Linked DNA regions of Rhinolophus ferrumequinum. The main gene of each other region encodes a partner of the protein of the gene in region 2 in a complex. Links are inferred from orthologs where the notes say so. Each region holds a gene or a part of one and is shown on either strand. Other genes may lie near its edges.

What was found. The genes of interacting proteins can lie anywhere in the genome.
Region 1: MAP3K20 (region 2) and AKAP13 share a complex: the UniProt entries of both Homo sapiens proteins name them as parts of the signaling complex. The link is inferred for Rhinolophus ferrumequinum from reciprocal best matches to the Homo sapiens genes MAP3K20 and AKAP13.
Region 3: MAP3K20 (region 2) and PKN1 share a complex: the UniProt entries of both Homo sapiens proteins name them as parts of the signaling complex. The link is inferred for Rhinolophus ferrumequinum from reciprocal best matches to the Homo sapiens genes MAP3K20 and PKN1.

The regions. Positions count from the first base shown.
Region 1 is NC_046311.1:6,943,969-6,951,155, forward strand, and holds the start of AKAP13 (A-kinase anchor protein 13), read right to left. Parts: upstream 3,222-7,187; 5' UTR 3,195-3,221; coding exon 3,110-3,194; intron 1-3,109. UniProt on the Homo sapiens protein: Scaffold protein that plays an important role in assembling signaling complexes downstream of several types of G protein-coupled receptors.
Region 2 is NC_046291.1:51,787,380-51,795,594, reverse strand, and holds the start of MAP3K20 (mitogen-activated protein kinase kinase kinase 20), read left to right. Parts: upstream 1-5,083; 5' UTR 5,084-5,693; intron 5,694-6,336; exon of another isoform or gene 6,337-6,463; intron 6,464-8,215. UniProt on the Homo sapiens protein: Stress-activated component of a protein kinase signal transduction cascade that promotes programmed cell death in response to various stress, such as ribosomal stress, osmotic shock and ionizing radiation.
Region 3 is NC_046301.1:47,690,613-47,698,439, forward strand, and holds the start of PKN1 (serine/threonine-protein kinase N1), read right to left. Parts: upstream 3,222-7,827; 5' UTR 3,014-3,221; coding exon of another isoform or gene 2,993-3,013; intron 1,996-2,992; 5' UTR 1,988-1,995; coding exon 1,931-1,987; intron 1-1,930. UniProt on the Homo sapiens protein: PKC-related serine/threonine-protein kinase involved in various processes such as regulation of the intermediate filaments of the actin cytoskeleton, cell migration, tumor cell invasion and transcription regulation.

The DNA.
Region 1 (7,187 bases), on a different chromosome or scaffold from region 2:
GACATCAGAAAAGGATTGTTTTGTTTGTTAGTATTTCACTCAACCACTACTAACAGCTTTTCTTTCCAGTTTTTTTCTGAACAAGTGAAAAGCAAAAATAACAATCAATGCAAAGTAAACATTTTACTCTATAAACAATTCTTACTCCCATGTGGATTTCTTCTGCAACCAAGTCAAAAGTTCACTAGAATAAGAGAGAGGAAAATAATTCCTCTCTTATTTCCTTTAGGATTTCTTTTCCACACTTCCTAACGTTTAGGATTCTTCATCCTGATTCACCGATCCAAATATGTTAAGCTGATCATTGGAACCTGTGACCTTTGGTTGTTTTCTGTTTCGTTTGTTTGTTTGTTTTAATGCGCCTGGTTAGCAGGGAAAAGCTCCATTCTAGCCTGAGTTCTAATCGTCAGCCCCAACAAAACAATTGCCAGAAATAAATACAATTGATATAACGAGTAGCTAGCTTAAATCACTGCACAAAGTAGTTTAGTGATTAACAGAGTGGGTTAGGTTAATATAAAGAACTCTTTTTTTTTCTTAACTGTCCAGAGTCCAAACACCCACCTCCCTTTGCATTCATTACACTCCCAAGCCTTAGCCTGAATCACTAAGAAACAAATTTCTGCTGGGAAATGTCAATGAGGGTGGGAAAAAAATCGGGATTACTGGACAAACGTTTCATCCACCTTTCTGTTCCCAGGCAGAATACTATGGCAACTACATAAGCAACAGATTAGAATAAGTTATGCTACTTGATAAAGTGAGGGTGTCAGTGGGAGGTTCGGGCTGTCAAGAGGCCCCCACCCCCCACTGTCAAAACCATCTCCTAAAGGAAGGAGGAAGAACTAAGCACCAGAATCACAAATATCCTACACACACACACACACACACATTTTGTTTACATAAAAAGGAGAGTACAATTGATGCTTCTTACCTATTAACTCAATGCAAACAGTTTGATGATTTGAGATTTAAGGTTCCTTATAAGAAGACAGAGGTTTCTAAATACTGGTCCCAATGGCAGATACCTCTGCCCGTATCACCAGAACCTTATTTTATGGCTCCACTAACACAAAAAATTAGGAATATTGACACACCGTGAAAGGATCTTTGCTGAGTGCTAGTCCATTTTATGGAGGAAGAACCTAAATGGCCTGCCTGGTTATCCACAGCTAATTATTAAATGCTTAAAAAATTAAAATCCAATTGAAGGAATTTTCATTGTCAAAAATCCCAGCTCTCTTCTTATCTTTCTATTCCGCTAACAAATACCAAAGTTAAAACTAAGGCTCTCAAAGTTGAAAGCACAGCACAGAAAGGAGAAGAGAAACAAACCTTAATTTGAGCAAGACATAAGGGGATCTTGGAACTTCCAATTTTGAGAGAGAATAAAAGGGAGGCCACATGAGCCAGAAAAGAAAGAAAAGGAGAACTTGATCCTTTCTTCTTTTTAAAGCCTTTCAAATCATGAAAGTAAACACAGGTTAAGGATTTTAACTGAAAGATGCTTAAATTTCCCCCCCGATTTTCAGATCTATCACACACTCGCTGAGTGACACTGGACAAATTATTTGGGGAAGACAGAGAGAGGGGATACATTTTTAATACTATTTAAGTATCATTTTAATACTTCATAAAGCTTTGTGAAGTACAAGGCTGGCTTATAATAAATGCTCATCAAATATTAGCACCTAACTTTTTCCCTTCCTATGAGAAATGCAAGAAAACAGGCGTGAATCCATCACTAGATCCAAATATTGTTCCAAGGAACTACGCTGTCCAGAGTCCATACACAAAATTTAAAAGGTATTGCTGTGTCAAAGTCGGGATGGCAGTGATGAGGGAACAAAGGTTTTCCTTCATACTTCGTTAATTTCCAAAAGTTTCTATAATAAACATGTTTTGCTTTTATGGTTAGAAGTAACTGTTTGGAAAAAGAAAATGTTTTAAGAAGGGTTTCATCATTCTCATGTAGGAACTATTTTTACCAAATGTTCAAGTTAGCTTACACTATCCTAGACTTATCTGACCCGAACTGTGTGTTAAAATAAAATTTCATAATCACCGTCAGAGGGAGAAGATAACACAGCAACTTCTTAACTAAAACCAAGCTGCTTAAAACTCTACTCATTGTTTACTAAGACTCTGTGGACACCATTTTAACAGAATCGGAATCAAGCAACACAAACTCTGGTAACAAGACTTACTTACAATAAGGCCACGACCCAAGAGAAACCCCCTCCTTCTCTCCTCCTCCAACTCAATCAGAAAATAAAGCCTTCTGCTCATTAGTACATCCAAGACCGAGCAGTAAGATCTTCAAGGAAAAGCACCTTTAAGAGTCTTTTCAACAAAGGGCAGTGGAACAAGTGGGATACCCACATGCAAAAATAAATAAATGCTTAGCTCACACCGCTCCCAAAAATTCACCCCAAAATGGATTCAAGACGTAAATATAAGAGCTAAAACTTTCAGGAGAAAATCTTTGCGATCTTGGCTAAAGATCTGTTCGATGTGACATCAAAAGTATGATCCACAAAAGAAAATATGATAAACTAGACTTCATCGAAATTAAAAACTCTTCCTCTTCCAAAGACACCATGAAGGCAATGAAAAGACAAGCCAGAGATGAGGAGAAAATGTGTGCAAATCAAGTATTTGATAAAAGATTTGTATCCAGAATACATAGAGAATATATGGCTCTTATAACTGCTATAGCAGCTCCCTCTGTGACAGCCAGCTGCGTTGTTTACATTACTTTTTTTTTTTCAATTTTCCACCACAGTAAGTCCTCCCCAGACTTGTTCCTGGTTTTTGAATGGCCATCATTGCTTTGCTAGAGGCTAGGAAAAGAGATAACTAAGCTTCTTTAAATTGTCTACACGAAGAGAGTAATTAGGTGGCTCTGAGAAAGGAGTTTCCCTAGGAAGAGAAAAGCGTGTGAGCGCATGCGTGCACCACCACCCAGCTGACCGACTGCTCAGAATCTCCCCTCCCTTTGGTACCTGACTGACCTCAAGGTAAGTGAAAGTTGGTTAATTAAAGAAAAGGTTTACCTGTGAAATACTAAACAGAACAATTTCTCCCTCTGAGTACAAAGCTCTTTTACCTGTACGACAACTGCCTGTTGAAGACTGTATGTCAGCACTCTCTTCAGGGTCAAAGCCGGGTCCCTCCTGGGTAGTAGGATCCATGAGTTTATACCAGCGCCAGCAACAATAGCAGCAGCATTTCAGAGAACACGAATAAATTCCAGAAAAACAGAAATTGTATTTGAGCAAGTTTCACCTACAAAACACAAGTAAGCCCAACAATACCTACGGCGCTAAAGCTGTATAAACAAGGTGGCAGGTAACCTATACGCTGAGAACCAGCTAGTCGTGGTCCAAACAAAAGGCCACAGGGAGGAGATGACCGAGGTGTTTGCTTTGATGAGAAGGGCAGAGAGAGACCTCAGGACTGGTTCTTCTGGAAGCACAAACTGGTTCAGCCGAAGTCATTGCTAAATACATAAAGGATGGGCAGAGAACACTGTACACATGGGCAGCTTTGCTGGGTGTTCTTTTCCTTTCACAGGGAATTTCCAAATGCTTGCTCAACCAACCAGTGACAACCTGGTTTTAACGAAACCACCCAGACCTGGTCTAACACAAACATTCAGGTGGTTAGGAAGTTTAGTTAATAATACAAAGGGTTGATCGAGAAGTCCCAGAATCAGGTTCAGACCAAAACAAAGGCCAAGGAGCTTAAGAGCTGACCACCTAGTAGGCATTTCTAAGAGAGGTACAATCTCACTGCATTTTCCACTATAAATCAGAAAAGGGTAGGAAAACAAAAGTGCCCACTGCTGACCAAGACGTGACAAAACAAATACACATGGAATACTCACATATTCAGATCATAAGCATAAAACATAAAGTGGTGATAAGTATTTTCGATAAAATTAAACAAATTTAACAATATGCATTAAAGAAACTTGAAAATGTTCAAACTTTAAAAAAAATAATTTTACTTTATCGTAAGGAAATAATGAGGGGAAAATTTGTTTTGACCAAAAAATTAAATGTCTACTAATAGAGAATTAAATTTGATAGCTCCCAACAACAGAATTATGCTATCCCTTAAAATAACATTCAGAAACTATACAACATGAGAACACATTATTAAATGGAAAAAAATCTCAGAAAATAGTATATACCATAAATCTGATCTTAACTATGTATTTCTTAAACCAAAATGTCTACTATCTCTAGGTAATGGGATTACTTGCTCTCATGTATTTGCCAAATTTTATTTACCACATATAATTGGACGGTAGCAAGGGGAGGAGATTAATTCCACCCCCACCACCTTATGGAAATATGATAGCAAATGCTTTCAACCGTAAGAAACAAAACTGTCCAAAATCTGCCCAGAGACTCTCTCGATAGATTTCTGCTCTTTTAGAGTAACATGATTCTAAATAACAGAGATCAGACTGTGGCAACATTGGCAGGATCACAGATCATTTTTATTACTTTCTAATAGCGTAATCAAGTCCACTTTTGCAAAGGAAAGTGAGTGAAAATGTAGTTGTATAATGAGGCTTATATTCACCTAGGTCTTTTTTAGATAACGAAGTTTTTCCTGGTTTCTATATTGAAGTGAACTCTTAACAGGATCCTTCTAAACCTAGAACTTTTCCAGAATAGCAAAGACATCAACCGTAATCTCTGTATCAAGCAAACTGCTACTGAATGATGCCATGAGAAGGAATTCAACAGAAATCTCTCACATTTTACAAACCACTTCTACATCAAAAATATTCCCGCAATCGTCAAACTCAACCAAAAATTTTTTTAAGACTGGCAGAGGCATGAACAGAGCGCAAGGAGTTAGAAAAATAATGGCAGGGGGAAAGATAATCCAAAATAAATATGTGTTAGCTTGCATTTTCCCCCCTCACTAAAGGAAAAATGTATTTTCATAGCAGATAAAAAGTGGGTAATATTTTGCAGCCAAAATAAACTATAAAGTTAGGCTAAGCTAGGAATGAGGTTAGAATGAGTTGAGACAGCTAAAAGAGAAAGCTGTTTTCTATTGTTCTTAGACTAAAGTACATATTTTAATGAAAAGGAAGAAGAAAGAACTAATCTGGTATGTAACATTCAACAGTCAAAAACACAGAATCCCAGAAATAGAATCGGAAAGAGCCCCTCATCTAAACTGTCCCCCAATGACATTCAGAAGTCATTAGCAAAAAAGTATTTCTTTCGATTGAAGAACTTTTGGATTTTTTTCAAGTGCTCAGCTATTATTTCAGTCACTGTTATGATCAGATGATGACAAAGGATCATGGAATCTTCTATCTGGAAAAACTCTTAAATCGTCTGCTCCAGTTCATACGCTGAATCAGATACAACCCAAGAATGTCATTCTTGCTGTACTGTAAAAATGCAACACAAATTTAGTACAAAAGAACTGAAGATGCGGGTGACATCGTGCTGTGTCACTTTTCGGTTGGGGAAAGGTTATGAATATACATGACACTCTACAGAAAAGTCACCCACCCAAAAGTTGCCAATCATCTGCCTTTCTACTTCACTCCTTTTCCCTCTCTCTGACCTGATCACAATATATAAAAGTATGCTACTCCTTAAGCAGTTTTAAATAGTCTATGTTCATAATTTTAAAAATGGAAATTGAAACAGATAATCACTAACTAAATCATTTATCCAGGATATCCTACAAGGAAATTTTGCACAGTTCAGAGGACCTTAGTAAAAAAGTAGATGGTTTCCCACCCCGACCTTACACAGCAAGATAGGTTTCCTTGATGGGTTTTGTTCGAAAACTTAGGATGTGTTTAAACATTACAGAGAAGACTAAACAAAACAGAGTTTGGTTAAATAAATGTAATTTCTTAGAGTAATTTTTAAAGCATCTATTTCGTACACCAAACCCCAGATCTGTACAATTACACCAATCCTCCCTTCTGATCAATAACTGAGACTTGACAGCTCTTTCACCTGCATCCCTCCAACCAACACAAACACACAAGCGCATGCACAACTCCATCTCATATTTTTCAAGTTACATCTATCCTAAGGTGAGTCTGGCAAGAGAATGGGGTAATCAATTTCTTACTACCTACCTCACTTTCGTATCACCTACAAGCAAGAATATTTTGAATCATAAACTACTTTAAGATGTTTACAGAAACATTGCAGAACTTAAGACTGTTTATATCCCCAAAGTATATTTATGTTACTTACAGGCTGGACGTAGCAGACCTTAGGAATACCAACGCAAGTCTGCGTTAACACTGAAGGACAAACTGACCAGCACCTCGTCACGGGACCATCTGCACCTCGGAGCTCTGCTCTAATTATCGAAGCTCTAAACTTAATACGACTGTGATCTTCCTGTTGGCTCACAATAGGAAGGCAACACTTGAAGCTGACCATGTGCAAGATACCCTGCGAGGAACTTAACATTGTCTTACTTCGTCCTCACGTTCTCTTTTGAGGAAGGTGCTAGTACTGCCTGTGTTTTACAGGTGAGGAAACGGTGGGAAGGTGATTTGCTGGGGTCACAGAGCTGACAGAGCTAAGGTATGAGTGTGAAGGGTCCAGCTCGCAGCCTAAGTAAGCTCTTCTTCACTGTACTGGCATAACCAGAGGTATTTTAGATTTTCCAGATACTCCTGGTTCCTGAATTGATAACAAACACACTTCTGAACAATGTTACTGTGCTAGGCTGAGCATGAGTCCCTTCACCATCAGTATGAACGGCTGGGAAGTAACACGTTCAGGGTTATTCCAATGCCCGGAATCACAGCCCCCAGTGATTATAAAAAACGCTAAGTCGTCACTGACTATGACCTTTACCTGTCAGTGTCACCGGGAGAACCCATTTGAAGAAGTACAGGTGTTTACCAATATGAGAAGGAAGAGAAAACTGATGGTGAGTATCTGGCCTAGTCCAGATGCAGTTCAAGTAAAGGTGGTGAAGGCGGATGTGGATTTGTATATGGGCCGTTTAATTTGTTAGCTCTATGACCTAAGGCAAGTATTTACACCCTCAAAAGCTCCCTTTTCTCATAGGCAAGATATGGTAACAATAGTCCCACTCACATAGGTATTATTATGAATATTACACTAATAGTGTAAAGCCATCAAGCATAATGCCTGGTATACAGTAAGCGT
Region 2 (8,215 bases):
CCTGTATTTGCATTTACTATGTTTCAAGAAAAAAATAATTTTTATTTGCTTTTATATCACTTATAAAACACTTTGGCATAAATGATCTCATTTGAACTTGACAACAATCCTCTGAGATGGGTAGGTAAGTTATGAGGGGACAATGCACAGATGGGAAAACTGAGATTTAGAGGTTAAATAAATTTCTCAATGTGGAAAAGAAAGCTTACCAAGGGCATATACTCAGTTAACATTATAGGGGGGAAAGAGATAGAGGTATTAATAATGAGGGGAAAGAAAATACAGCTCCTGGAAATATTATGTAGAAACATGAAGACTAATCTCATGCAAAATGATTTAAAAATGCAATCTATGAACATAAGTACAGAAATAAGTGGCATGTAAGAAAGCTCATCTCATTGAAAATGAAAACTGGCACTATAGAGGCCTGGTAAGTAGGATGATATGTGACATAAAGTGAAGCAATGGCTTAATGAATCTCATTCTCTGCTTTGAAGGTAGCATGTCTAAGTCTAGTATAAAAAAAACAAAGTCACCCCAGATTCTCTAGGAGTCAGGGAGTCAGTGAGCAGATTTATTAGAAAACAAAATACACAATAAAATATATATATATATATATATATATAATATATGAATGTAATATACATATTACATTTACTTGCTTTAAAAAAGATCTAGGGCCGGCCGGATGACTCAGGTGGTTGGAGTGCCGTGCTCCTAACACTGAGTTCACTGGTTCGATTCCCACATGGGTCTGTGAGCTGCACCCTCTACAGCTAAGATTGTGAACAACGGCTCTCCCTGGAGCTGGGCTGCTGTGGGCTGCTGTGGGCTACCCTGTGCTGCCATGAGCTGGCCGGCAGCCGGCATGAGCTGCTGTGAGCAGCCCACCGATCACTGGCAACCGACTGCCTGGGGGAGAGGGGGAGTGCAAGGCTCATAACAGCACGGGCCAGGGAGCTGTGTCCTACACAACTAGACTGAGAAACAACGGCTTGAACAGGAGTGGGGGGAGGGGGAGGTGGAAGAAGGGGAAAAAAAATCTAAAATCTATTTCTGTTTAGAACATTGAGACCGTGCATAGGCAAATCAAATATTCTCATTATAAAATAATTTTAATGTAAAATATTTCTTATATCAGTGGAAGAATAGCCACTGAGAAAAAAGACTTGATTTCCTTTTATAAATAACTATGGATTAGAGTACAACAATAGTTCTAACTCTGCTATTGCTGTGCATTTAAAGCCAAGATGATGACTGTATTGAAAAAGAGGGAAGAGAAAATCAATAGATTATTGCTTCAATGAAGCTCACAACAGTGCTGATTAGAGAACACAAATGGATTGCATAATAGTAAAATAACTATAAACTGGGTATGGATTTAAGCCTATGTTAAGACCATTCTTAACTGCATTGTATCTTTTAAAAAACATGCATTGAAATTACAACAATAAATTAAATCTATTCGACCGCAAAATTTAATACATAAGAAATAGCATTTATTAATGATCTGGAAGAGGGAGTAAATAGCATGTTAATGAAATTTGCAGATGATACTAAATTGGAAGGTGTTACAAACAACAATGCAGACAGCAGCTTAATACAAACGAACCTTAAAAAGTTAGGGAAAAGCCAATGGTAGCAAAATATAAAAAAGCAAATAGAACTTATACAAGTATTCATTGGAAAAATTTCAACTTGAGTAAGAATAATACAAAAGAAGTACGGATAGAAAAGTGACTTTGAAATTTGATCAGGATTTTCTAACTATTATGGACTGGTTAATCCATTCTTAAGAGGGCCTTGGCCAGCTACTGGGAAGTAGTCACTCCTTTACTCCGCTATCCCCTCTCTAGATGGACCAGAAGAACTATATTGCTTAGTTGTAGACATTTTGGAGACAAGCAGAATGAAGAAAACATAGAGATGAGGCATATCAGTTAACAAAACAAACAAACAAACAAACAAAAACAACATACTGAAGAGAAAGGAATGACTAATAAAGACACACGATTATGTATTGGTATAATCTAATGGAGTGTTCATAATGAAGAGGGACCATGAGTGTAAAATTCTTAGCTCAGTGCATGGCACCTGAGCACTCAGTAAACATTAACAATCATTATTATTAGTAGTAATATTATTATTATTGTTACTGCTGCTGTTACTACCACCCTGAGAATTATTACTCCCTCCTGGCAACGTCTTTACTCAGATGTTGAAGGGATTTATTCCTTGAACCTGTTAAATGCTCTTGGGCCTTTGTACTTCTTGTTCTTGCAGCAATACCTTTCCCTCCTTTTTGTCTAGCCAAATTCTCTTCATTCTTCTCCCAGGGACTTGGAAGTTCTTTGTCTTGGAAACATTCATTGACCTCCCAAAACTTTTAGTTGCCCTGGTGTAAGCCCCCATTTTGCCGCTTTCAGAGTACATTGGAGTATAATTGTGTGTGTCTTTTCTGGCTTTCCCATTACACTCTGAAAACTCTGTGACAGTAAGGACCCATCTGGGTCACTGTTACAATCACAAAGCTTAGCACCATGCCTGCCATTCAGAAAATGTTTGTTGAATAAAGTTTGCAAAAGTCCCCAATTTCTCTTCTTGCCCCACTGCTCCTTTCGTGCCCTACAACACCTAAGCAAATTTGGTACCCAAAATGTTGTGAATTCTTCGGTCCCCAAGTTAGATGTGAAAACTAAGCTCAAACAATGGTATGGGCTTCATTTGTGATTTTAAGGTAACGGCTACATATCTCAACTGATGTTTGATTGTGTGCTTTAATTTCCCAGGGATTCAGAGTTGTGCAGGAGGTAAAGCACCAACCTTTGTATAAAAGGTGGTGAATTCTTAGATATGATCCAGACACAGACTACTCACAATCTAAGATTGAGGAATGAGATGGCTAGACAAAATGCTCCTGGATACCAGCTCTCACCATAGTTCTTATCACTATAAGGTGGGGGAAGGATATTCAGAATGCTTGCTTCCTTTTAAGTTGCCTTTCCTTCTATCCTTAATAGAATTTATGTCTGCACTTCTCTGATCCACTGATAGCTGGTGGCAGTTCCAGAATTTCTATTTAAGAGGAGCTTAAGGACAACAATCTAATTGAATGGGAGACTAGGAGACTTTTTCTTTAAGTTAAATTTGTACAGAAAATTCACTATTTTTACCCTCATTGCATGTTCATTTCGGAGGGTGCTCTTGGATATAAGTGGATGCGAAGGACTCCCCAGCCACCCCGCTCCTGAGAGTGTATCTATCTTTAGTGTAGAGACATTTGAAATAAAGGAATAGAAAGGCTTGATAAGAAAAGTTTGACTAGGTCTCTTTTGCTATTGCTATTTACATTTGTAAACTATACAGGTGAGAATTAATCGATATGCTTTCAAAAAGATTTGAGTTTGAAAAAGCCGAGTCAGCCATGGGAATAAGCACCAGGCTATAGCATTAGGTCTGGGGCCTGGAGGTCAGTGTAGTCATAAGGAAACAGGCAGCTTGACCAAGGAAGAGTCTTACTTGAGGTAATCAATTTATCACACAATTATTTATTTCAGCTGTGGACAGATACAGTGGAATATAAGATAACCTCAAGGAGCATGCAGCATAATTGGGAAGGCAAGAAAATGCCTACCAGCCTATTTAAGCATATTTGTGAGACTCCTCTTTGGTGTTCATTGTTCCTGATGGTTATTCTCTTAGCCTAATTATGAGGGGAAAATAGAATGAAGAAAAAAATGCATGGGAAGGAAGGGGCATGTGGCTAAAAATATTGACTCTTAAGAGATGTGCTCCAAATTTAAAGCAATACATGCATAGTTTTAAAGCTGGAACTGTAGGTAACATCTAATTGGGGCCTCTTATTTTGCAGAGGAGAAAACTGAGGCCTGTTTAGCAAAGTACCCAGCTCATGAGCAGCAGGATTAGGGCCACAAGCCAGGTCCTCTGACCACCAGTCTAGTGTCCTTTCTATTACAATGTAGTGTCTTTGAAGGTGAGGTAAAACGACCTGAGTCACCTTATGCCTAAGTCTGTGTTAAAGAACCTTAGTTTTCCCTTTAATGTTTAAATGGTTTTTAGAATAATTGGTTACCCACATCAGGAAATTTTTTAGCATGACAGTTTTCATTTATCCTAATTTCTCTGTTACCAAAATAGAATCTATCAATGCTAAAATTTCTAGTCCGTATCAAAGGGAAAATTCAATAATTAATCTGAATAACAAACTAGAAAGCTGGTGTTTTTTTTTTTTACCTGTATTCACCCATCCCTCCACTCTCATATCTTTAAATATGTGAATGATTTACAATTCATCTCTCCCTCCCGACCTCTTTTCTGAACCTCAGTTTCATATTTCAACTGCTGCATCTCTACCTGTTTTTCCTCCCATGACCTCACGTCAGCAGGAAGCCAACTTCCACTCCACATGTCCCTATTTCTGTCAATGACAGCATCGTTCTTTCAGTCATCCCGGTGTGAAATCGTGGCAGCATCTGGGACTCTTTCCTTCTTGTCTTCCACATCTAATAGGTTACCAATTTCTTGGCTTCCTGAAACATGTCTCTCAATTCAATTCCTTCTTTTCTAATTCTATTTTGTACACTCTCGTTCAAGGCCTCACGATCTCATTTCTAGGTAGTGACAATATGTCCAACTCATGCTGCTTCCCAGTTTGGCCCTGGCAACCATCCTACAACCGTGTGGACTGCGCGCGTGCTCTCTCTCTCTCAATAACCATTAAAATAAAAACGCAAAGACCTATTTGATCCTTTTGGTTCTAGCTTTCCACGTCTCCCCAGCGTCCATAGATGACAACATCCAAACTCAACCCCCTGAATAATGTTGCCCATACCTTTGCAACCTCGTCTCACTTTTCCTCCACAGAACCATCCCTTCCAATCAACAATTACTTTTCTTCTCGATACCTAGTTCCACCTTTTGCTCACACGTGGAACGAATTCTAGCGTCCTCATCTGAATTCAGCTTTGTTAAAATCACCAACCAGGGCAGCAGACCCTCCTCAAATTCCGTAGGTATCTACCGATGGTTCCCCTGAGGCAGCCTTCAGCCCTATATCCTCAGAAATATCTTTCCAGGTCTGTCCCCTTCCTAACTAGATAATTAAGTCCCGCAAGGCCACAAAGCAGCCTCCTATCCCTTGTATTTCCTGCGCCTATTTCACAGGAAATGTTTCTTGATAAGGACTGAGTTGACGGGATAGGTGGTGGTAACTTGCTAAAAAGATGTGAAGGTACAAAGGGTTGCAGAGGCACAGGTCCCCCTCCGCGTGCCCACACAATAGGGCAGGTGGCCCCCGCTGAGCGACCACCGGCGGCGGCCGGCGGCCTGACGGGTTCCAGGGCGTCGGGAGCAATGGTGCCCCTCAGGGTGCAGGTCCGGGAGTCCCAGGCGCCGCCCCACGCCGGCTGGCCCCCGCGTCTGCGCTGCGGCCGGGCCCCGGGCGTACGGGCAGGCCCGGTCGTTCCGCGCTCGGAGGTAGGTGGTGCTGTTGCCGTGACTGTCTTCCTCATTGGCGCGGGACGCAGAGGCGGAATGTTCAACTCCTGACTCTGGCGGAAGCGTGGAAGCCGCGCGAGCCGCTGTCCTCTCGACCCCCCGCCGCCGCTCCTGCCCTCGCCGCGCGCGGGGCCTGTGCGCCCCCGGCTGCTTCTCGCGCCCGGCCCGGGAGCCAGGTAAGGGCCGGCCAGAGGCCGCGGAGGGAGAGGCTGCGAGGGAGGCCCGCCGCGCTTGCGAGCCGTCCGGGCGTCTCGGGGCCGAGGCCCAGCTGGGGTCGGGGCCCGGGAGCCCAGCCGGCCGTCCAGAGCCACATTGGGTTCCCCTTCCCGAACTGGGGCCCGCCCGGGCGGCGGCGGCCGGAGCGAGCGTCCCGGGCTCCCACGGGGTTGGCGCCTGATCTCAGCCGTGGCTCGGCCACGAGCGGCTCGGGAAGTTCGGGCCGGTCCCACGCAGAAGTTGGCACCAGAAAGAGCGGGGCGCAGCCCGGAGCGTCCCCGGCTTTCTCAGCCCTGGGAGCGCGGCGCAGGCTCGGGGCGCCTCCGGGACCGCCGCTTCCCCCCCGAACGCGGAGCCCCCGCCCACCGAGCCCACGACCCCAGGAGAGCAGCTCCGGAGCGCCGGCCTCGCAATGGGTGACCGGGCCACCTCTCGGGAGGCAAACGCGAGTCTCCCAAATCAGGGCAGGGTGCAGGGTACTTCCCAGCGTGCGAGGGGGACCGTGAACTTCTGCTTTTCTGCAGGGCCGGGCGCGAGGGCTCCCACCCTGCCCTCGTCATCGGGGAGCTCGCGCCCACCCGCACCCCCAGCATCCCCTTTTACCTGCCACGGGAGCCGAGGGTCTCCCCTTTGCCGACCCTGTGGCGTCCACGGGCTCGTGGGCTCTGAGACCAGCAACAGGCCCGGACGGAAATGCCAAGGCCGCCGCCTCACCTCGCTTGCTCCTGACAGCTTGCAGAAAAACTTTAATGCAAAACTGGCGAGATGATATCGAATTGCCAAAAAAAAGAAAAGAAAAGGAGGGGGCAATCATTGTTAGAGTGCTGAAAATGTATGTTTCTGATGCGGCTGATGCGCCTTGAGACCGTCTTCAAAAGCACTGTTTATGGAGAACTTAATTACTATTTTTGTTAGTTTCTTTAATAATGAAAGCAACACCATTTAGTGGCTCATTCCAAGTGATACTGCAATAAGCAGCTCTCTCAGCAATAATGTTGTATTAGAATCGACTTACAATTAATTCGAGGATATTTGAGCTGATTGTTAAAGTATATTCATATTTTAAACTTAAAGCTGTTCTAGGAGAGCCTTCTTGCTTTCCTGAACTCGGTTGAATTGAACAGCCAGGATTCATGGATCCAAATCTACAACACATTTAAAGACAAAAATAAACAGGTGATTCAAGACAATTAACGTCTTCTTTGTAATAGGCCCATCTCCACAGCGACATTTCATGGTTTTTGATTTTCAAAAAAATAATGTGATGGCGCATTTTAATTATGATTTTGGTCATTTGTAGAGCCTTTGTTTTAAAGCCCTGCTACAATAGTGAGGGATTTGGGAGATTGTAAATGCATATGAATTCAGTTTGTTTGGAAAGAGGGAATTAAGATAAAGAAAAGTGGTCTTTTAGAGCAATGCATACTGTTTATTTTACTCTTAAACAACTTAATTACTACTGTAACTTTTTGGGAGTTTTTTTTTAATTGGAAAATACTGTTTAAATCAAAGTTTTAGTGCTAATAATTCTAGAGTAAATGACCATAATGTAATGGCAAGCATATTTTTTTCTTGTACAAGAAAGCAAATAGGTGGTTGATCTCCTTTTTTTTAATCTGTTAGGGAACACGTAAGGACATATTAAAGAGAGGGAGGCAGGGGGAGACAGAGAGAGAGAGAGAGAGAGAGAGAGAGAGAGAGAGAGAGAGAGAGAGATAGGGAGGGAGGGAGGGAGGAGGAAGAGAGAGAGAGAAAAATAACCAAATATTAAGCACAAGGATTTGGATCTAAAAATGGATGGTTAAAGATCTTGGGAACCAAGGGACCTTCTTGCCAAATAAGGAAACTTGGCAAGCTGCGCTGTGTATTTTAAATTAGCACAAGAGTGAGTGTTATTGGCAATATATTGGCTGAGTGCCTATCTGGAATGAGCAGTGAAACTGACTGATAGGGCTACAAAATTATAAACAGAGTTATGAGGGGCGTGGAGTGAATAACCTAGTCATCAGAGAAAACACTGGAGAAATTACAATGATGTTTCATGAAAAGAGGTCAGATGCAGAATGAAGTTATTAGTGTGGATTGAAAGAGAAAAATGGACAGTTGATTTTTAAAAAATTAATAGATTCAGAGAAAAGAGGAGAGAATCAATGAGTTTAAAAAAAAACACCAGGAAAAGGTGTTTTTGGCGATATAATACTTCTTGGAATAAGATAGCCTTGTATCTGTATCCAGAGATGTTGGAAATAGAAATCAATTTGGATCATTTGTTTTCCATTTTATTTTACCCAGGACAGATTGATAGGGAGGGTGTCTTTTCTATCTAAATAATAGGAACAGCTTAGGCACCTTTTGGTCTTACTGCAGGGAAGATTTAGGTTACTTCTTTTGTGGCTATTAACCTTGGCCCGCTACACACAAATAAGCAGAGTTCCAGCTGTGACCAGAAGTACCTGTGAAGGAAAGAGAGCTATAAATGCTA
Region 3 (7,827 bases), on a different chromosome or scaffold from region 2:
TCCCCCAAGTGTATACAAGCTCCTGGGGCTGACTCAGGGGTAAGCACACTCTCATATACCTACAAGCGTGTGCACAGAACACAGGTGTACATGAATATGCAAATGCCCAGGAGTGTTTACATGGGCCAGCCCCCTGCCTGCAGATACAGGCCGTCCCAACTTCCGGCTTCTTCTCTGGGTGCCACTGCTTCTGACCACAGCTTGGGGACCTAGGGTGCCAGGCTGGGTTAGGGACCTCCCTGAGACCCACACCATGACCCACAGCACTGGAGACCAGCAAACTAGCAGCCCTCTAAAGCTCAAGTATGACTAGTAATAACAGCAGTTACTCCAAACTGCATCCAGGTCAACTAATTAAGTCCACGAGGCGAGTGCTATTATCACCCCATTTTCAAGATGAGGAAACTGAGGCCCAGAACAGTGTCATAACTTGCCCCAAGGTCCTACAGCCAGCAAGAAGCAGAACCAGGATTTAAACAGGAGTGCCCAGAATCCAAGTGCAGGCTAGGTTGTCAGGCCCTCTCCTCAAATTGCAAGAACCCATTTCACAGATGAAGTAAGTCTTCCTTGCTCCTGACCAACCTTGAGGGCAGCTGCCCCCAGGGAGGGTTTACTGCAGGCCAAGGGCCTCACCTCCCCCAATCCTACCAACCCCTTACTTTAATGTTGAGCAGTTGCCATTATTCTCCCCTACTTTACAGGTGAGGAAACTGAGACTCAGAGAGGAAAAATAAGCAATTTTCAACACCTGCTCACCTCTGGGGACATTTGGCAAGATAAAGAAATATTTTTTGTTGTCACAACTGGGGGTGGGGAGGGGGTGCTATTGGCATCTAGTGGGTTGAGACCAGGGATGCTGCTCAAAAATCTACAGTGCACAGGACAGTCCCCACCTCAAAGAATGATTCAGCCCTGAATGTCAATAGTGTGGAGAAACCCTGGGTTGAAGGACACAAACTCACACCCTAGGCTGCTGACCATGACCACCAGTAAAGATTTCATGGCAGTCCTGCCTGCAGAGCACTTGCCGGGTCTACATCCTCACGACCATGAACACCCTCTTAGTCCCATTTTTTTGCTGTCAGAACTGAGGCTCAGAGAGGCAAAGGCACCGGGCCCAGGACACACAGTGAGGAAGTGACAGCGCTAGAATTTAAACCCAGGGTCTTCTAATACTACTCGCTCCCAACCAGGCCCTGCCCACTGCCCAGGCCCACCCCGTCCCCAGCAGGCAGAGCAGGGGTGTACAGCCAGGAGCAGGGCCAGCTCAAATGGGGGTCCAGGCAGAGAGGAGGAGCAGGCGCCTTCGGCTGCATCTCTAGCAGCTGAGGCCTGAGAATATGCCGAACACAGGATGGAGGGAAGCCTGGCCTCCTGGGTTTTCCTCCCTGGAGTGACTCACTCCTACCCAGGGGGCAGAGGTCACCAGTGGGCCAGCAGGATGAACCTATGAATCAGAGGCCTGGTCCAGCCTTGGAGAATCCCTGCTCCCCGCCACCTCTCACTGTGGAGCAGGAGACCCAGGTTCAGAGGGCCCACCTCCCAGAAACCCCCGTTTCCAAGTGCAGCCAGGGATCTAGACCCCCATGTCCGGAGATTTCAATGCTTTGGGCGTTTCCGGAATCTGGACAGGACATCCGCTTGCCGGACACAGAACAGACAGGCACACGTTGGGACAGAGGGACAGAGTGGCAAGCCCAAGCAGCCACAAGAAAGGAATAACCAGGACGGGAGAAGGGAGGGAAGAGGGTAAGAGATAGGAAGGAAAACCAGGGCACAGGTCCAGCCTCGTTCCAGGAATCACAGCCTCCATCAGGGTCAGGTCTGGTACATACCAAGCACATGCATGCACTGGGGGATTCCTACAAAGCCCTCCCATGACTGGGGGGAGAGAAAGGAACCCTGGCCCTCCCCAGCCCCAAGGTCTGACCTTGTGTGATCTGCAACACCAGATACGCCCAGCTCCTCGGCAAGGCTGGCAGGCCATCAGCAGGACTGGGGTGGGGTACAGGGGGACATGGGGGAGACAGAGGGGATGGAGAGCAGGTGCAGAAGGAGATGAGATCCCGGTTACACAGCACCACAGGACAATGGAGGGATAGTGAGGTACTAAGTGGGCACAGGACAGGTATCAGATTTGGGTCACTGAACCAAAGGTCAGAAGTCACCCTAGCCCTGCTTGTCATAGCCAGGGGAGATGAGTTTAGGACTGTAATGTCCACAAGGTGGCACAGGGAGAATCTGGCTGGGCGGCAGGTTTGCACCAGTCACCTGTACCTGTGTATGTGTATGTGTATGGGGGAGAAGGGGCTGACCCCGCGTGCCACCCATGCCCAGGTAGGATTCCAGGGCCGAGAGAATCCCCAGCCTATTGACCCAGACACTCCCCAACTGGGATCGGGTTCCACCTGACAGCCCGGAGGGTGGCCGTGTGGATCCCCCGTCCCCAGACCTAATGAGGTGACTCGGGCATTTCCGCCAACAGGTGCCAATCTGGGTGGCGTCGACCCTCATAAAGCTCAGTCTGGAGGCGGGGACCGCTGGAGCTTTGTTGTGCGGGGGAAGGGCACGGGCCGGGCGGCCTCCTCGCCTCCTGAGGCACCGTGCCAGGCACCTGCACCAGGTGGAACGGCACCTGCCGGGAACCGAACGCTGAGGGGGGGGCGAGTGTCGGGGGCAACAGGCACCGGGACGCACAACCAGCCTCAGAGACCCGAAGTCGCGCCTCCGCTGCGTCCCCCCGAATTGTCGGGGAGGGGCGGAGCTTCATGGTGCTCGGGGGATTCCGGGACCTCCCCGCTCCCCACCGTGAGTACCTCCACCTGCCGAGAAGTGGGCCGTGCTGGGGCTCCACGGTGCCGGCCCCGGGAAGGAGTACAGGGCGCTCCGGAGGCCCCCCCCCCGCCCTGGCGTCTGGGGACCCCAGAAGCGCGCGGGCGGGGTTCCCCGGTGACGGGCGGCCATGGAGCTTTGCGGACGCAGGTGCACCTACCTGCACAGCGTCGCTGGCCATGTCCTCTCGCCACCCGCCAGGGGTCCCCGCGCGGAGGGAGGGGCGGCTGGAGGAGCGCGCGTGCGCCCCGTGTGGGGCGTGGAGGGAGGGAAGGGGGCGGGCACGGCGAGACCCAGGCCCGGCGTGCGGGCCGCTCCGGCCTGCTAGGCTCCGACCCTGCCTGGCCTGGCCGCCGCGCCCGCGCGCCTCGCCCTCCGGCCCCAGCGGCCGCCGGGCCCGTCACGTGACCGCCGAGGTCGGCGCCCGGGGAGGGGGCGGGGCCAAGGGGCGGGTCTCCCAGCGGCCCCCGGGGCTGCGGGGTCCCGCCTGCCGGGCGGCCCCTCTCCGCAGCCACCAGTACCTCGTTTGCTCCCCGCGCCCTTCTGGATCCGCACTCTGTACAGAGGTACCCCAATTGAGAGCGCGGGAACCCGAAAAGAGTGAGCCCGGTTAAAGCAGGGAGTAGCGGAGGCATTTGGGCCTCCTGGGACCCCTCAAAAACCAATTTCTCTCTCTGTATTTGGAAACTCAGGCCCTCTAGACCCATTCGGCCTACGGGACCCGGGTTAAAGGGCACGGGAACTTCCCCATTGCCTATAGACAAGCTCTGGGTAGATCTGGGTTCAAATCCCAGCGCCTCATGCCTTGGGGGGAGCCCCAAACCCCTAAGAGCGCCTCGTCTATGAAACAGAATTTACCTGCTCACCCCTCAAGTGTTGATAAAATAAGATACTGCAGACCTAGTGCTCGATACGGTAAGCGCTCGATCAGTGTTAGCTGTCATTTTTATTATTGCCGTTATGAAAAGGAGGTTGAATAGCAACTCCATCACTGACTCGCTGTGGGCCACATGGATCCTGTGGCTGCTGAGCCTCAGTTTTCCTCGCTGTAAAATGGGGATCAGCCTCTTCTTTGGGCTGCTGTATGCAAATAGTGCTCCATAAATGCAGACTCCTGCTCCATAAATGCGGAGGCAGAGGGTGGAGGCCTCTCAAGGGTCTCCGAGAGTCTCTGGAGTGTGCAGCTTGGCTCGTGGCCCACCTCAAGACTCCCTTTCAAGCGGGTGACTGGACCAAACCGCAGTCCCTGGGGCGCGGGGCGGGAAGCGCTCCCTTGCGGCGTTGCCTGCACTCTGGCGCCCTCCTGGGATCCACCAAAGTGCAGGGAGCTGCGGGTTCCTTGGTGTCTCATGGCTGTGCGTGGTTTGCGTTGTCCCAGAGACCAGGGCACGATGTTTTCTCTTTCCCTTTTTCCTTTGTGCGACTCTTGGTGGAGGGGGTTAACAGAGAAATAAAGAGAAGGAGAAGGAGAAATTATACCAATCCAGAATCTGCCCATTTCTCTCCCCTCCCAAGGCCCCCACGGGATCCAATTGCAGTCTTCCTTCACCTGGACCAGTGCAGTCGCCTCCTCCCAAGTCTTTCAGCTCTGCCTTCAGCCTCATAGTCTGTTTTCCCCCACAACAGGCCAAGTGCCCCTGTGAACACCTGTGTCAACTCACATCCCTCCTCTGCCTAGAATCCTCTATGGCTCACACCTTCAGAGTAAAAGCCAAAGTCCTAAGCACGACCCCCTTCAACTTTCCCCTCTCCTCCCACCTCCCACTTACTTGCTCACTTCCTCCAGCCACATTGGCCTCCTGGCTGTTCCTTGAATATTTATAGATTCAATGAAATAACCCTTTTGACAGAGTTCTTTTGCTCCAAATTTACAGGTGAGGAAACTGAGGCTCAAAGAAAATACCCTAATCCCAGTTATGGAGCCAGGATGTTTATGGCCCTTGCCCTGAGGAATAGGGTGTCTTCCTCTAATTCTAGCCTTACCCATTTTACAGATGGGAGGATGTGGCAGAGTAAGGATCTGAGCCAGCCCAAGACTGGGCCACCCAGTCCAGGGATGGGCCCTCTGCTGCCTGCCAGGTTCCAGGCTGCCTTCCCGGATGGAGCTGGGGACACCTGCCAAATTCTCACTCCAACCTTCCGGCATTCGTTTACTCAGCGACTATTTATCAATGCCCGCTGGGGACATTGGTGGCACTGGAAACAGAGTCACCCTCCAGGCTTGAAACTTGGAGACGAAGGACTAATTGTACAATTTCAACCAGATATGATAACTGCAGCTGCTCTGGCTCCTCTCCAATCTGCTCTGGGGCCTTGGAAACCCTAAATCATACCCCGTCTCCTACCTCTACCTGCTGGAAAACCTGTTCCCAGCTGGCTGGAGCTCTTAGGAAAAACTTCCGAACCCTCACCTGGGCTACAAGGTGGTCCTGTCAGCTCTCTGCCTACCTGTCCAGCCACATCCCCACCACACCCCTCACCAACACACCGCCATTCAGCAACACTGGCCTTCTCTCTCTTCCCCAAATATTCTTACCTTCCAAACTCAGGGCCTTTGCACTGGCTGTTCCCTGGTTTGGAATGCCCTTCCATCACATCCTCAAGGCTGGCCTTTCTTTATCATTTAGATTTCTGTTTAAATGTCCCCTCCTCTGAGAACTTCCCAGAATACCTCCATGCCCTGTCATATCTGGCTCGTGGCCCTGTTTTATTTATTTTAAATGTAACTTTCTGAAATTGCCCAGTGTCTGGCCTATGCTCGTTCAGTCTTTGTGGAATGAGTGAGTGGACACAGTGTAAGATGTCAGGAGAAAGGTATTCCAGGCCTGTGGTGGCTTTGAGGAGGCAGCCACCCTACTGTGGAGGAGGCAGAAAGGATGGCAATGAAGTTAAGTTGTGAAAGACAAATTGGGAATTTTCAAAGTGGGTAAAGAGGAAAAGGGCGTCTGGTGGAAGGAACAGCAGAAGCAAAGGCCTAGAGGTGAGGGAGAACCTGGCATGTCCTGATTCCTCTGCCCTCATCACCCCTCACTCACTCCTCTCTGGCCTCACAGCCTCTTCACTGCTCCTCAAACATGCTTATTCCTGCCTCAAGGCCTTTATGCTGGCCATTTCTGCAATACTTCTCCTCATCTTGGCATTCTCTTCCTCCGTTCATTTCTATGTTTACTCAAATGTCTTCCCTGACTGCATCTCCACCTAAAACAAGCCCTACCCTCCCTACCAAACGCTACCCCTGGCATAACTTGATTTTTGTTGCAAATTTGACTCTAGTATTTTCTTTCTGATTTGTCTTGACCAGGAAGGTGTCAGCTCCCAGAGGCTAGGGATCATTATCTGTCTTGTTTACTGCTGGGTCTCTGGCTCCTAGTACAGAAAAGATGCTCAATAAAGAGCGGCTGGATGAACAAATGGGTGAATAAACCTGGCATCATAGGGCATGGCTAGGGTTTCTGGTGCTGATGAACCTGGAATGGAGGGCAGGCTCCAGATGTTGCAGATGGTGGATATGGAGTTCAGACTTGACCCTGAGAACTGTGGGAGCCACTGATAGATTCTTAGCAGGGGAGAAACTGAAAGAGGATTGTTTTTCCAAACATAAAGCTCTTTGCAAACCAAGTCTCCACCAGTAGGGGCCAAAGAAAGAAATGGGAGTAGATTTATCTGACACCAGAACTAAATGTGTCAACAGAGTCAAAAACACCTCCTTGAGTAGGATAAAAAAGCAAGTAGAAAAAATGATACAGTTTGAAACTGTTGATATCAATTACTAAAAAAAAAACACAGAATGTGAAACTATCAAGTCTGTGGTAATGTATGGAGTAGTGTGATTGTAGTGTGCCTGGCATCCCGGCTGAGGAGGGTCAGGCTACCTGGGTTCAAATCCTGGCACTACCACACACTAACAGTGAGACCCAGACCCAGTTACTTCACTGCTCTGTGCCTCAGTTTCTTCATCTGTAAAAGGGGATGATAATAGCAGCACCTACCGTGTTTCCCTGAAAATAAGACCTAGCCGGACCATCAGCTTTACTGCGTCTTTTGGAGCAAAAATTATTTTATAAAATAAGACTGGGTCTTATATTAATTTTTGCTCCAAAAGACGCAGAAGAGCTGATGGTCTGGCTAGGTCTTATTTTCGGGGAAACACGATGCCTCAGACGGTTGCTGAGAAGCTTAAATGAATTCTTATAAATCACAGAATTGGGGTGCTGTCATTGTTCAATCTCATTTTTATTGAGGATGTTTATGCGATTTGGGAGGGGAATGGAGTTGGGGAGGTGAACACAGGTGATTTCCACTTTAACTATAATGTGTTATGTCTTTTATTTTAATTATTATTTTGATTGAGGTACAGTTTACCTATGGTAAAGTACACAGATATTTTGGTGTGAGGCTCCGTGAATTTTTATATACGAGCAATACACCCGTGGCCATGACCTAGTCTACTCCCCAGCTACGTAAATTTTACTTGTGTCCTTTCTCAGGCTACCTTGTCCTTTGGATTCTACCATATCACCATAGATTAATTTTGCCTCTTCTTGAATTTCACACTGCATGGAATCATTTTATGATTTTATGTCTGGATTTTTCATGTCTGGATTCTTTCAACATGTTTTGTCTTCTATTGAAATAAAATTCACATACCATATAAATCACTCTTCTTAAGTGTGCCATCTAGTGATTTTTAGTAATTCACAATGAACATGATGTTTTTGAGATTTGTCCATCATGTCGTGTATATCATTAGCTTATTCCTTTTTATTTCTAGTGGTATCCCAGGGTGTGGATGCACCACAGTTTCTTTCTCCATTCACTTGTTGATGGACATTTGGGTTGTTTGCAGTTTGGGGCTATTATGCATAAAGAATATTCATTGCTCGTTATCTTTTTGTGGGCAAAAAGTATTTCATGTACTGTCAGATCTATACGTAGGATTGCTTAATTAATAGGTGCGTGCCTATTTAACCCAATGGGTCTCATCTGGGGTGATTT